Linked DNA regions of Callithrix jacchus. The protein of the gene in region 2 interacts with the protein of the main gene of each other region in a pairwise test. Links are inferred from orthologs where the notes say so. Each region holds a gene or a part of one and is shown on either strand. Other genes may lie near its edges. The genes, in order: PTPRK, TK1 and TLE1.

What was found.
Region 1: the proteins of TK1 (region 2) and PTPRK interact in a two-hybrid assay, tested with the Homo sapiens proteins (2 studies listed by BioGRID and IntAct). The link is inferred for Callithrix jacchus from reciprocal best matches to the Homo sapiens genes TK1 and PTPRK.
Region 3: the proteins of TK1 (region 2) and TLE1 interact in a two-hybrid assay, tested with the Homo sapiens proteins (2 studies listed by BioGRID and IntAct). The link is inferred for Callithrix jacchus from reciprocal best matches to the Homo sapiens genes TK1 and TLE1.

The regions. Positions count from the first base shown.
Region 1 is NC_133505.1:134,537,167-134,540,813, forward strand, and holds part of PTPRK (receptor-type tyrosine-protein phosphatase kappa), read right to left. Parts: intron 2,495-3,647; coding exon 2,359-2,494; intron 2,101-2,358; coding exon 1,951-2,100; intron 780-1,950; coding exon 606-779; intron 1-605. UniProt on the Homo sapiens protein: Regulation of processes involving cell contact and adhesion such as growth control, tumor invasion, and metastasis. Negative regulator of EGFR signaling pathway. Forms complexes with beta-catenin and gamma-catenin/plakoglobin.
Region 2 is NC_133506.1:133,959,154-133,962,800, reverse strand, and holds part of TK1 (thymidine kinase, cytosolic), read left to right. Parts: intron 1-2,912; coding exon 2,913-3,002; intron 3,003-3,340; coding exon 3,341-3,460; intron 3,461-3,559; coding exon 3,560-3,647. UniProt on the Homo sapiens protein: Cell-cycle-regulated enzyme of importance in nucleotide metabolism. Catalyzes the first enzymatic step in the salvage pathway converting thymidine into thymidine monophosphate.
Region 3 is NC_133502.1:101,338,471-101,342,217, forward strand, and holds the start of TLE1 (transducin-like enhancer protein 1), read left to right. Parts: upstream 1-1,226; 5' UTR 1,227-2,538; coding exon 2,539-2,562; intron 2,563-3,349; coding exon 3,350-3,450; intron 3,451-3,657; exon of another isoform or gene 3,658-3,747. Other genes in the region: uncharacterized protein LOC103792545, read right to left, coding at 822-963, 1,014-1,035. UniProt on the Homo sapiens protein: Transcriptional corepressor that binds to a number of transcription factors. Inhibits NF-kappa-B-regulated gene expression. Inhibits the transcriptional activation mediated by FOXA2, and by CTNNB1 and TCF family members in Wnt signaling.

The DNA.
Region 1 (3,647 bases), on a different chromosome or scaffold from region 2:
ATAAAAATAAAACAAACAAACAAAAAGCCTTTCTTTCCATATTGTTCTGTCTATGGGCTACAACACTCTGCAGTTTAAGACTAGAATGGGGCAAGATCGTTCTTTCATTATGATGGATGTTTAACATAATACTATCCATCCCTTCTCTAGTTACTTATAATAGTATTTCTTGTTTAATAACCAACAAGTTAATTGTAAACTATGAAAACAAATGTCGGAAATAAAAATTTCCCAAATTAACACAATTTTTGTAGAATTTGGCATTCTGTAATTTAAAAAATTTATTTCTAATTATATTCAAATAGGTAAGGCATGATTTTCTTTTCTGAAAATAATTAAGATGAAATTTATAACATGTAATATTTACTCTATGAATATAATAACTGACAATCTCTAAATCTATAATAAAGCTATAAAAATGATAGTTCTGAAAAATTCCTATAGGGAAAATCTAAAATCATTCTCCAAAAAATATATTTCAATAAAAGTTTCCATTTTTCTTTTCAGGTTATTTCAATATTCTTGAAAAGAAAACTAGCTAGTGTTCAGTTGCATTACATAGCTTTTCACAGCACTCTACACTAACAAAGAGGGCAGTCTCTTACATCCATAAGAGCAGCATTGATGTAGTTACTGCTCTCCCCATCAATTGTAATTAAAAAAGGCAGACATCTGTCAGGTGGCAGCATGTCCATGAAACGGTTCTTGTCATGGTTCCTTGGCAGGCATGCTATACTGCAGTCTTCAGCTTGTAGTCGAGGGGTGACTGAATTCAGAGTCTAAAACGAAAAGGGAACCCAGGTTAAATGACAGTGACCCATTTAACAGTATAACACAGATCCATCAGATATTTATTAGACCAAGTGGAAGTGAAGGATTTGTGCAAGGCAATGGCATTTGCTACTCTGACAAGCTGATAGACTTTGGGTTAAAGCTAATGACGCCTGAGAAGTGAGAAAGTGAAACAAGACACACATTGCTCCTCTTCTTAAAAGGAAAAGGGAAGCTAAACAGCATTGCTACATGTAAAATGCATTGCCTTGACCAAAGAAAATACAATCAGGAAGTCCATGATGATAATGACCCTTTATCACAGTGGGAAACGGTATCATGTGTAATAACTTCTGGGCTTACCATATTTGAAGATAAGCTATGGCATGTTGGAAAGAGCACTGGGCCAACAATCAAACAATTTGGTCTTTCCTATTTATTTTTTCAGTCACCTTCAGAGATGTTTTAAGGGCAGTAAAAACATTTAGGGCTATTTTGAAATAGTATTTACTACCAACTTCATTTATTATTATTTTTTGAGACAGAATCTTGCTCTACTCCCCAGGTTGGAGTGCAGTGGCGGTATCTTGGGCTCACCACAGTGTCTCTGCCTTCCAAGGTCAAGCAATCTTCCCATCTCAACCTCCTGAACAGCTGGGACCACAGGCTTGTGCCACCATGCCTGCCTATTTCTTTGTATTTTTTTTGTAGATGAGGTTTTGCCATGTTGGTCAGGCTGGTCTCGAACTGCTGACCTCAAGATCTGCCTGACTTGGCTTCCCAAAGTGCTAGTATTATAGGTGAGAACCACCACTGCGCCCAGACTTGGTTATTGTAATTAATGTGCTTGAACTACTCGCATTGTGAGTGACACAGGTCAAAATCTGTATGACTGTATGAAAAAAAGTCTATAAATACACAGAAATCACCACTAATTTTGACTTTTATGATACCTTTCCCTCTTGCTCTTCCCTCAGTCTGAACTTATTTTAGATATAGTAGATATGAATTCATTAATAGAAAAGTGACTATATAATATGTATAATGAAAGAGACATGTATTATATTTAAAACAGAATCAAAGGTTATACATTTGACTTGAGACCTTCCTTAAAAGGACTGATAGTATCCAGAACAAAATGAATTAAGTCATAACAGAGGTTTGAGAAATAGTTAATACCTGAAATTCATCCTTGAGATGTGAAGAGTTAGTCTGAGAGTCTATTCTAATCATATCAAAATATGCAGCTTTAAATTCACAGACAGGTATGGCAGTTTCTCCACATAAGCAGGCTTCTAAAATGGCATCATGAATAAAAATGTATTGTTCCTACCAAAAGAATGACAAAGAAAATTTTGTATTATTTTTGGTACCACTTTTCTGTCATCAAAGGTAGAGAATACAGAAAATTTTCTCTATATGAAAATATGAATTGAAGTACCAATATTTTTCTATATGACTGAGCTAATATTGATTACATATGAAAAAAAATCTACTCTTTTGGTTGAGTAGAGTATATATGAAAGACATCTACCCTTGCTTGTTTTTTTAAAAAAAAAAAAGTCCACTACAGGTAAATCTACATACCTCTGTCTGGACCATATTGATACGACGAGACCTTAAGGCTTTGACACAATTGTAGATATCAACAACGCCCTCTCTTTCAGCCATGTCCAGCATGATGTCAATCACAATGTAACAGCCAGTTCTTCCAGCACCAGCACTGAAAATAATTAAAACAATTGTAAGAAGCATGTTAGTTAGCCTTCATAACCTTAAATAAGGAGCACTTCTGAAGCAACCAATTCATAAGGAAGTAAACCTCTCTGATAAATCAAGAAATCCCTAAACTGAAAACATATTTATCTCATTTTCTACTAACTCATATCTGTAGTTAGATAGGCTAATAACATTATTTCCTTGTTATCCAGATTTGGTCACTTCTCTTAAACTCACTGTTCTTTTAGAAATTTAAGCAAAAGATATTATGGCTGTCTCTCTTTATTTTTGTCCTCTACCATCTTCTCAATCATAGTTCCCAGAGTTGGAAACAGGGATGTAATTGAAGAGTACATCAGAGTTCATGAGGAGGATTGAAAGGAAGATTTTTTTGTTTGGTTTTCAGGGTACATATTATCTGATCCTATGGGATGTTTTACCTTTATTTCATTCTCTGCTTCCCCCTCCCCTTTTATATATGGTTATCTAAATCATGAATAGATTGGATTTTCAGAAAGCAAAAAATGCTTAATTACAACCTATTATGTAGCTTGGAGGGAAGAGCATTTGAGAATGGTGTGCAGCATCATTTAGGAAAAGCTTTTCAGATTCAGTACTTATTTTTCTGGTCACACCTCAAAATGAGCCCATGTAATTTGCTTTTAGAATCTCTAAATGCCTGTTTTAAGAGAAATTTCTAATCAGAAGTAAGTCTGGATATAATGTTTGTGTTTTTTTGGCATATATTTGCTGAATCTCACTGATGCAGTTCTCAAGGTCCTCTAATGTGAAGTCTTAAAAAAAAAATTAAATTGCTGTTTTATAGCACAAATTCTTGCAATTTAGGCCATTTAGTAACTCTGTGTGTCTCAAATTTAGTTTTAAAAGCTGGAATTCTACTGGGAATTTTCTAGATTGACAAGAAATGTCTATTTCAACCTAGCATTCTATACAATATGGGATTTGCAAAAGTGATAAAAACAGAAAACAAAAAAACACAGATGTTGCCACTAAAAGCAGAGTTTCTACATTTTAAATTGTGGGTAACACTACACACATTAAGATGAATGTAAGTATTTCTTAAGTTCCTGTTTTATAGCCTACTTACAGCCAACTTTTACTTTATTGCTGTTCTGCTTCATCTGTAATACAAGCAA
Region 2 (3,647 bases):
GAATGCATCCAGGGATTCTGCATCAGCTTTGGGGGCATGGCCCTCTCAGAACAAGGAAGAGCAAGGAAGCTTTAGCTTTGGCGAGGCTCTCCCTGCCTTCAGACCTGCCACTGTGAGTTGCTCAAGAGCTCTGCTCTGGCTCTGCATAAACCTTGTTGACAGATGCTGACCCAGACCCCCCCCAGGCAGAAACCTTTCCCTTCTCCTTCCTCCTTCCGTAACATCCAGGAGCCAGCATATTAAGTCCTGTCCCGTTCCAGCCTGAAGGAGAGATTTCTCAGTCTACTTCCTCCCTGGCCCACAAGTAAAACTTTAGTTCATTCAGGGAGTGCTTATTACACCCCATATCCAGACATCAGCCTTGTGCCATTCTGTGTGCCCTTGTTCCTTTCTAGAAGTTTAGCATCTTCCCACTGCAAGCATTTCTAGATGGAGGAGAGGGGTTCCTAGTATGGGGACCCACAGAAGGACTGTCCTTCCCTCCTTCATTGTCTACGTGGACAGTGGAAGAAGCCCAGCCTGACCTGCCTTGTTCCTGTTTTCTGGGTCAGCAGGGAAAGCCTTTCATAGAGTAGCCACCATGCCATCCTGAGGAAGGCCCTAGGTCAGAAGCTTCTGTGCTTCTTTGTATGCCGGGTGAGGCACAGTGGCGCTCACACTGCTTTGTAGAAATTGTTGGCATGCAAGAGAGAGTCATGTGGAGACCCCAAAGCCACTAGCTGGGCGTGCTGTGCTTCAGATGCTGGTGGTGGGTGAGCACCCTGGCCCCAGCACCTCCCCGATGCGTTCATCAACAGCTGTACAGTGTCTGGCGGGCCTGCAGGGTTGCTTGGCAATAGTGGAAGCTCTGATTTTTTTAAACTTTTTTTTCTGGCTGGGCACAGTGGCTCACACCTATAATCCTAGCGTTTTCGAAGGCCAAGGCGGGCGGATCACTTGAGGTCAGGAGTTTGAGACCGGCCAGGCCAACATAGTAAAATCCCGTCTCTACTGAAAATACAAAAATTAGCCGGATGTGGTGGCACACACCTATTATTCCAGCTACTTTGGAGGCTGAGGCAAAATCATCACTTGAACCCGGGAGGCAGAGGTTGTGGTGAGCCAAGATCATGCCACTGCACTCCAGCCTGGGTGACAGAGTGACTCTGTCTCAAAAACAAACAAACAAAAAAAACCAAAAAACGGTTTTTTGTGTTTTCTGTTCTACTAACACAAGTAATACAGGTTGAATGTTCCTTATCGTAAATGCCTGGGACCAGAAGTGTTTGGATTTCTGATTTTTTCAGATTTTGGAATATTTGCATATATATAATATAATGAGACCTTGGGAATGAGTCCCAACTGTAAATACAAGATCCGATATGTTTATAGATGCCTTATCCACATAGCCTGGGAGTGATTTTATATGCTATCTGGTAATTTGGGCATGAGCCAGGGTTTTGACTGTGAGCTGTCCCATAAGGTCAGGTGTGAAATTTTCCACTTGTGGTATGCACTCAAAAAGTTTCAGGTTTTGGAGCCTTTTGGATTAGAGACTTCGTAAGTTTAATCTGGAAAAACTTAAGAGTCTGGCACAGTGGCTCATGCCTGTTATGCCAGCACTCTGGGAGGCCGAGGCACGCAAATTGCTTGAGACTAGGAGTTTGAGACCAGCCTGGGCAATATGGTGAAACCCTGCCTCTACCAAAAATACAAAAATTAGCCAGGAGTAGTGGCACATACCTGTAGTCCCAGCTAGTTGGGAGGCTGAGGTGGGAGCATCGGCTGAGCCTGTAGGTCCAGGCTGTGAGTCATGGTTGAGCCACTGCCCTCCAGCCTGGGCAATGGGGAGCAAGACTGGGAGCTGCCTTTTTGTGACATGTGATGAATCCTCAGAGAAAAAGAGAGAACACGTGCATGGTGGGGCAGGGCCCAGCGTGCTGGAGTCTCTGGGTTTTCTTTCTAGAGGCCCCTGCAGTCTGCTGAGCGCAGTCGGTTACATCAGGCTTCACCTGGATCCCACTGGAATTTTTCCAGTTATCCCCTAGTCCTCGCCTTGCTAAGCCCTAATGTCTTAATAACCTCAAACCTCAGTACCTGGGCTGAGGAAAGCCTGAGGGGCTCCTGGAGAGAGACCTGTGCCCAAGGACAGGAACATCCCCACTTCAGCCAACCCAAAGGCCAGTCTGGACATGTGAACTCAACCAGCTAAAAGCAATATGACTGATTGATGAGAATCACCAAAGCACTTGCTAGAGTTTCAGCTTCTCCCTGGGCCAAAGTGAAATTTGATGTAGGCAGTAAATGTGCTCTGTGCCGGCCCTGTATTTAGAAGGCTGTGCTGTGTCATCCTGCTCTGTAAATGGCCAGGAGGACCCCCACACCTTCTCAAGGCACATTACCTGTCTAAAAAGGCGAGGGGGCAAGAGCACAAAATGCCCAGCTACTCACTGAAGTGCATGTGTATAACTTAGTGCCTTCTGTCCTTACACAATAGGACCTTTCTTGCTATCGCTCAGTGAAGAGGAAACAGGTTCAGAGAAGTTAACTCACTGCCAAGGTCACACAGATAATGGTGTCCGCTCGGAATAGCGGTGTCCGAGCCCCAGGCAGCAGATGTCTGGCCCCAGCCTTTGGCCGCTGCAGTGTTAAACAGCACAGCAGGTGTGGAAGTCTGATGCTGAGTCCTGGGTACCTGGACTCGGAGCAGAAGCTGGCTGCAGAGGGAAGAGGCTGGGCAGTTGTGGATGTGCCTGTCATCTGCTGGGAGGGCACCCATGGACAGTCCCCAGCCTGAGGAACCTCATGGAAGAGTTAGAGTTGCTCCAGGCTGAATGGCGGGAGTTGTCTGATCTGGCAGCGTCTCTGCTGGGACTTCAGGGAGCTGCTGCTAGGGTGGAAACTCTCACGCTTTCTCCACCTTCCCTTTCCAGTTCCCTGACATCGTGGAGTTCTGTGAGGCCATGGCCAACGCCGGGAAGACAGTAATTGTGGCTGCACTGGACGGGACCTTCCAGAGGAAGGTAAGGTGTCTGATCCAGGTCTGGAGCGTGATTCCAGGAGGGGAGGGGGCTTCTGGGTGGCCAGGGCCCAGCCACTGTAGGGGCACAGTTGAGCTGCTCAGACCAGTCCTTGCCTGAGCCTAGGGACTCCCTGGTCTATGCAGACCAGGTGCCATCTGTTGCGGCAGGTGGTTTGAATTGGCAAGGAGACAAAGCCAGGCATGGTGCTCTGGGGGTTGGGGGAGGACTGAGGTCAGAGCAAACTTTCCTGGCTTCAGTGCTTATGAATCAAAGGGTTTAAAAGAAAACCCCGCCTGGGAAGGTAGCCGAGCACCCACTGTCTTTCCATGGGAGTGCAGGCATTTGGGACCATCCTGAACCTGGTGCCGCTGGCCGAGAGCGTGGTGAAGCTGACCGCAGTATGCATGGAGTGCTTCCGGGAAGCCGCCTACACCAAGAGGCTTGGCACCGAAAAGGAGGTACCTCCACCTGTCTTCCCTGCGGGCTGGTGGGGTGGGGGCGTGGCTCTGTCTCCTTCCTGTCCCGGCCCTTCACCCATCCCCTGTCCCTGCGGCTAGGTCGAAGTGATTGGAGGAGCAGACAAGTATCACTCTGTGTGTCGCCTCTGCTACTTCAAGAAGGCCTCAGGCCAGCCTGCCGGGCTGG
Region 3 (3,747 bases), on a different chromosome or scaffold from region 2:
GGGTGGGGTGGGCGGGACAAGTTTTTCAGGTCTCACTTCGGGTTTATGACTTTTTCTCTCTCTGTTCCCAGGAATTGGAAACACACTCATGGTCTTGTAGCTCAGAGGCTCCTAAAAACCTCAGCCGCTCCCCTCCTCTCCCAACACAGCGAAGTCAGGACTTTTAAGACTAAGACCTGGGATTTCGCGCCCCGGGGCAAAGCGTCTCCTTTGCGGACACGCGTGCCTTGTTCTGGCAGCACCCTGGGAATCTTTCCCGCCAAAAGGGGCAGGATTATCTTTTTGAAGAGTGGCGTGAAATCCTGCAATAAAATCAAATCCTACCACTTTGAGTGTAAAGGGGGTGATGGAGTGGGAGGACATCATAGTCGTCTTTGCGGCTGGTGTACGTACGCCAACCGTGGGGTTGCTCATTTACGCATTTCCTACTAAGTGCACAGTCCACTCCCTCTCCTACATTCGTAAAAAGGCACCTTAAGGAAAAACAAACCTCAAATAAATTTTTGAATGTGGCCTCACTTTGAGTAGCATCAAACAGGGGTCCAGCACCGAAAAACTCATTTTCTCGAATTACCAAAAACGCCCCTCCGCCTCCAATAAATAACTACGCAGCTAGTCTTTGAGTTACTTTCACTCAGATTTGAGGATTTTCATTAAAGGGAAAAGTGAGCAAGTGGCAGGATTTTTGCAAACTCGAGCCCCCAGCTTCCTCGGCGGCACGCTAGCCAGTCCCTCCCATTAGCGCGCTCCCGCGCTCTCCCTAGCCAGCCCCACGTTACTTTGATTGACAGCCCAGCCCCGCCGCTCTCCTTCCCACCGACCTTCCCATCTTCAGTGCCAATCTACGCGAACTGCCGCTTCCCATTGGCTGGTTTTGGCGTCCCGCGGCTCCTCCAGGAACAGTTCCTCGCCAAGCCCGGGAGGACGCGGCTGGCGGAGGAGGGGCCGGGGTGGGAGGGGAGACTGACGAGACGGCGGAGATAGAAGCGAGAGAACGGGGGAGGGAGAACTACCAGTCCGGCGCTGCGCTGCCATAGGCTCCGGGGAGGCGCGCGTCAGCGCCCCACGTTGGGTGCAGAGCACACGATTGGCTGATACGGGCCTCCTGCCCCTTCCCAATCTCCCGGGCCCACGTCCCCCGCCGGCTCCGCGCTCGCGCCCCCGCCCGCGTGGGGCTGGGCGGGGCCGGCGCTGGTTAGCTCCGGAGTGTGAAACCGCGTGTTAATGTAACCGGCGCGAGAGGCGCGGGCGGCGGCGTCGGCTGTGCGATCGGCGGCTGCAAGAGCAGCAGCAGCAGCGGCGGGTACTCAGTGCCCTGCGTCCGGGAGGCAGCCGACTGCGCCACCCCCACCCTCGCACGGCCGGGCGGGACCCGCGCCACCAACCCGGACCTCCGTCGTTCTGCAGTGACCAAAACCCCCGCCGGCCCCGCCGCGGTGACTATTCCGGACTCGCCCGCGGAGTTTGCCCGCGGGGGAGGGAGGCCGAGCGGCGGAGTGCACAACTGCAGTTTTCACCACCATCTCGAGGATGTGGTCTTTTGGGTGGTGAGAGAACTTTGCCGCGGGCTGCAGCGCCCTTTGAGGAGAGGCACACCAAGGGAAGGAAGAAAAGAAAGAAGACCGAAGAAGAAGGGACTCGGAATAAAGGTCCGGAGCGGCCGTGCCGGCCGTGCGGGGCGAGTGCGCGCAAGGCGCGGCGCCCTGATGCGCCTCGGGCTGGAGGAGCAGCTGGCAGCTGCGGGACTGCTTTCTGTGGAGTAGCCCCGTCGGGCCAGGAGGGTTTGTGCAACCGCGGAGAACACCGAGTGCTGGTCGCACGGGGCGTGCCGAGCCGCCTCCCGGCGCGCCCTCCGCACTTTCCCCGCCTCGTCATCCTTCGTTCCCCGGCCGGGATCCTCCGCCGCGTCCTCAACCTCTCTCTCCGCCGTGTCCCGGGAGCCCGCGAGCGCCCGGCCGAAGGCGCAGTCGGGTCTTGGGGGAGTCGCCCAGAAAGCGTCGGGTTTGTGTGGGGTTAGCCGGGGCCGCCGCGCCACCTGCACCTCGCCCGCCGCCACCGCCGCGGGGAAAACCCGGAAAGGAGGCGGATCAGGAGAAGAGCAAAGAAAAGCAGCCCGCCTGGATTTGTTTGCCCAGGACTGACGCCGCGCACGCGGATCGCCAAGGGGAGTGCGGTCGGAGCCACCGCGCCCCCGCCTCACCGCCCCGGCGGCTGAGGCTGGGGGGTTGGAGCGCAGCTCCAGCGCACAGTCTCCGGGCGCCTGGCGTCGTCGCGCAGGTTCTTGGAGCAGCTGGGCCTGGGGCGGCCGGTGATGTGGCCCTGAGGGCGGGAGCCCGCACCGACGGGAGCGGGAGCAGCTGCGGGCGCTGAGTGGCCGGTGCGCCCGGCCGAGCGCGCCTGCGTGCGTGGCCAGCGCGCCCCCCGCGCTCCCCGCTTCTGCCCGGCTTCCCGGCTTGATTTTCCTCGGCGGGATTAAAGTTGGAAATTGACCGGAGAATTGAGTTGCCCGGGAACAGAGCCCCGGCCGCCGCCAGAGCGATGTTCCCGCAGAGCCGGCACCCGGTGAGGCGCGGCTGGGTGGGGGGGTGCGGCGGGCAGGAGCGTTGGGGAGACACTTCTCCGGGGCGGTAGGGAGACGGGTGGCTTCTGCGGCCTGGAGGACCCTCTGGCCCTCAGCGGTGTAAGACTAGGAAGGTTCGGGACACCCTCCTCCTGGGTTGGGGAGTGGGCAGAAACTCTGGATTTTCTCCCTCCCTTTGGGTTCTTTCCTACTTGGCGTCTATACTGGGCGGACAGGGTTGCTGGAGAAGGCTAGGGTTTCTCTCGAGCAGCCGTATCCCTCCCCACCTTTCCCGAGGGCGGCCAGGCGCCCCCTCCCATTGTTTCTCCTCTCGGCTATTTACACGTCAATGCGGCCCCCGTTCCGGTGCGTCTGGAGGTGGCCCCGGTGACTCTGGGAATGGGGAGCGTAAAGGAGTTGTTTTTCTCCTCCAGTCCCCGGGGTCATTATCGCCCCCGTGGGGGAAGGGGCGGCGACACCGACAATCTGGCCTGGTCTTCCCCGGCCGCCGGGAAGCCCCCTTCCCTCTTGGCCTCGTGACCCGGGAGCACTTAGAGCGATCCGCCGGGGACGCTGGGAAGGGCTTTCGAGCATTTTTAGAAGCGGGGGCCGGGGAGGGTCCACTTTCCCCTTTCCCAAAGTGAAGCACAAACTCGAGTTTGGGACCTCGTTTTCAGCCACTTACAACTTTATTTTTTATGTCCGACCCGTTCCTTTCTTTTCTAACTTACTGCTTTATTCATCCGCCCTCATTCCCGTCCCTCGGTCCCCCTCGCTGGTCGCCCCCAGACGCCGCACCAGGCTGCAGGCCAGCCCTTCAAGTTCACTATCCCGGAGTCCCTGGACCGGATTAAAGAGGAATTCCAGTTCCTGCAGGCACAGTATCACAGGTGCGTGTCCGGCAACGCCAGGCGAGTGGTCTCGGGCGGCCCCGTGCCCCTCGTCGCCCAGCTGGGTAAGCGGCGGCGCCTGTACTTAGTTCTCGCGTCCAGGTGGTGGCGTTTGGAGTCGCTGTTAAGACCTGTCATTCAAGTTACCCCTTTTCGTGGCTCTTCCCGGGCCGCCTCTTCTCTTGTCTCCTCCTCCTCCCATTGTTTCCCTTTTGCTGGTTTGCTGCTGATCCAAGGAGTCCTTTTTGGTTTCTCTAGAAGTTGCATGAGAATCGTCAATATTTGCACTTCATTTAT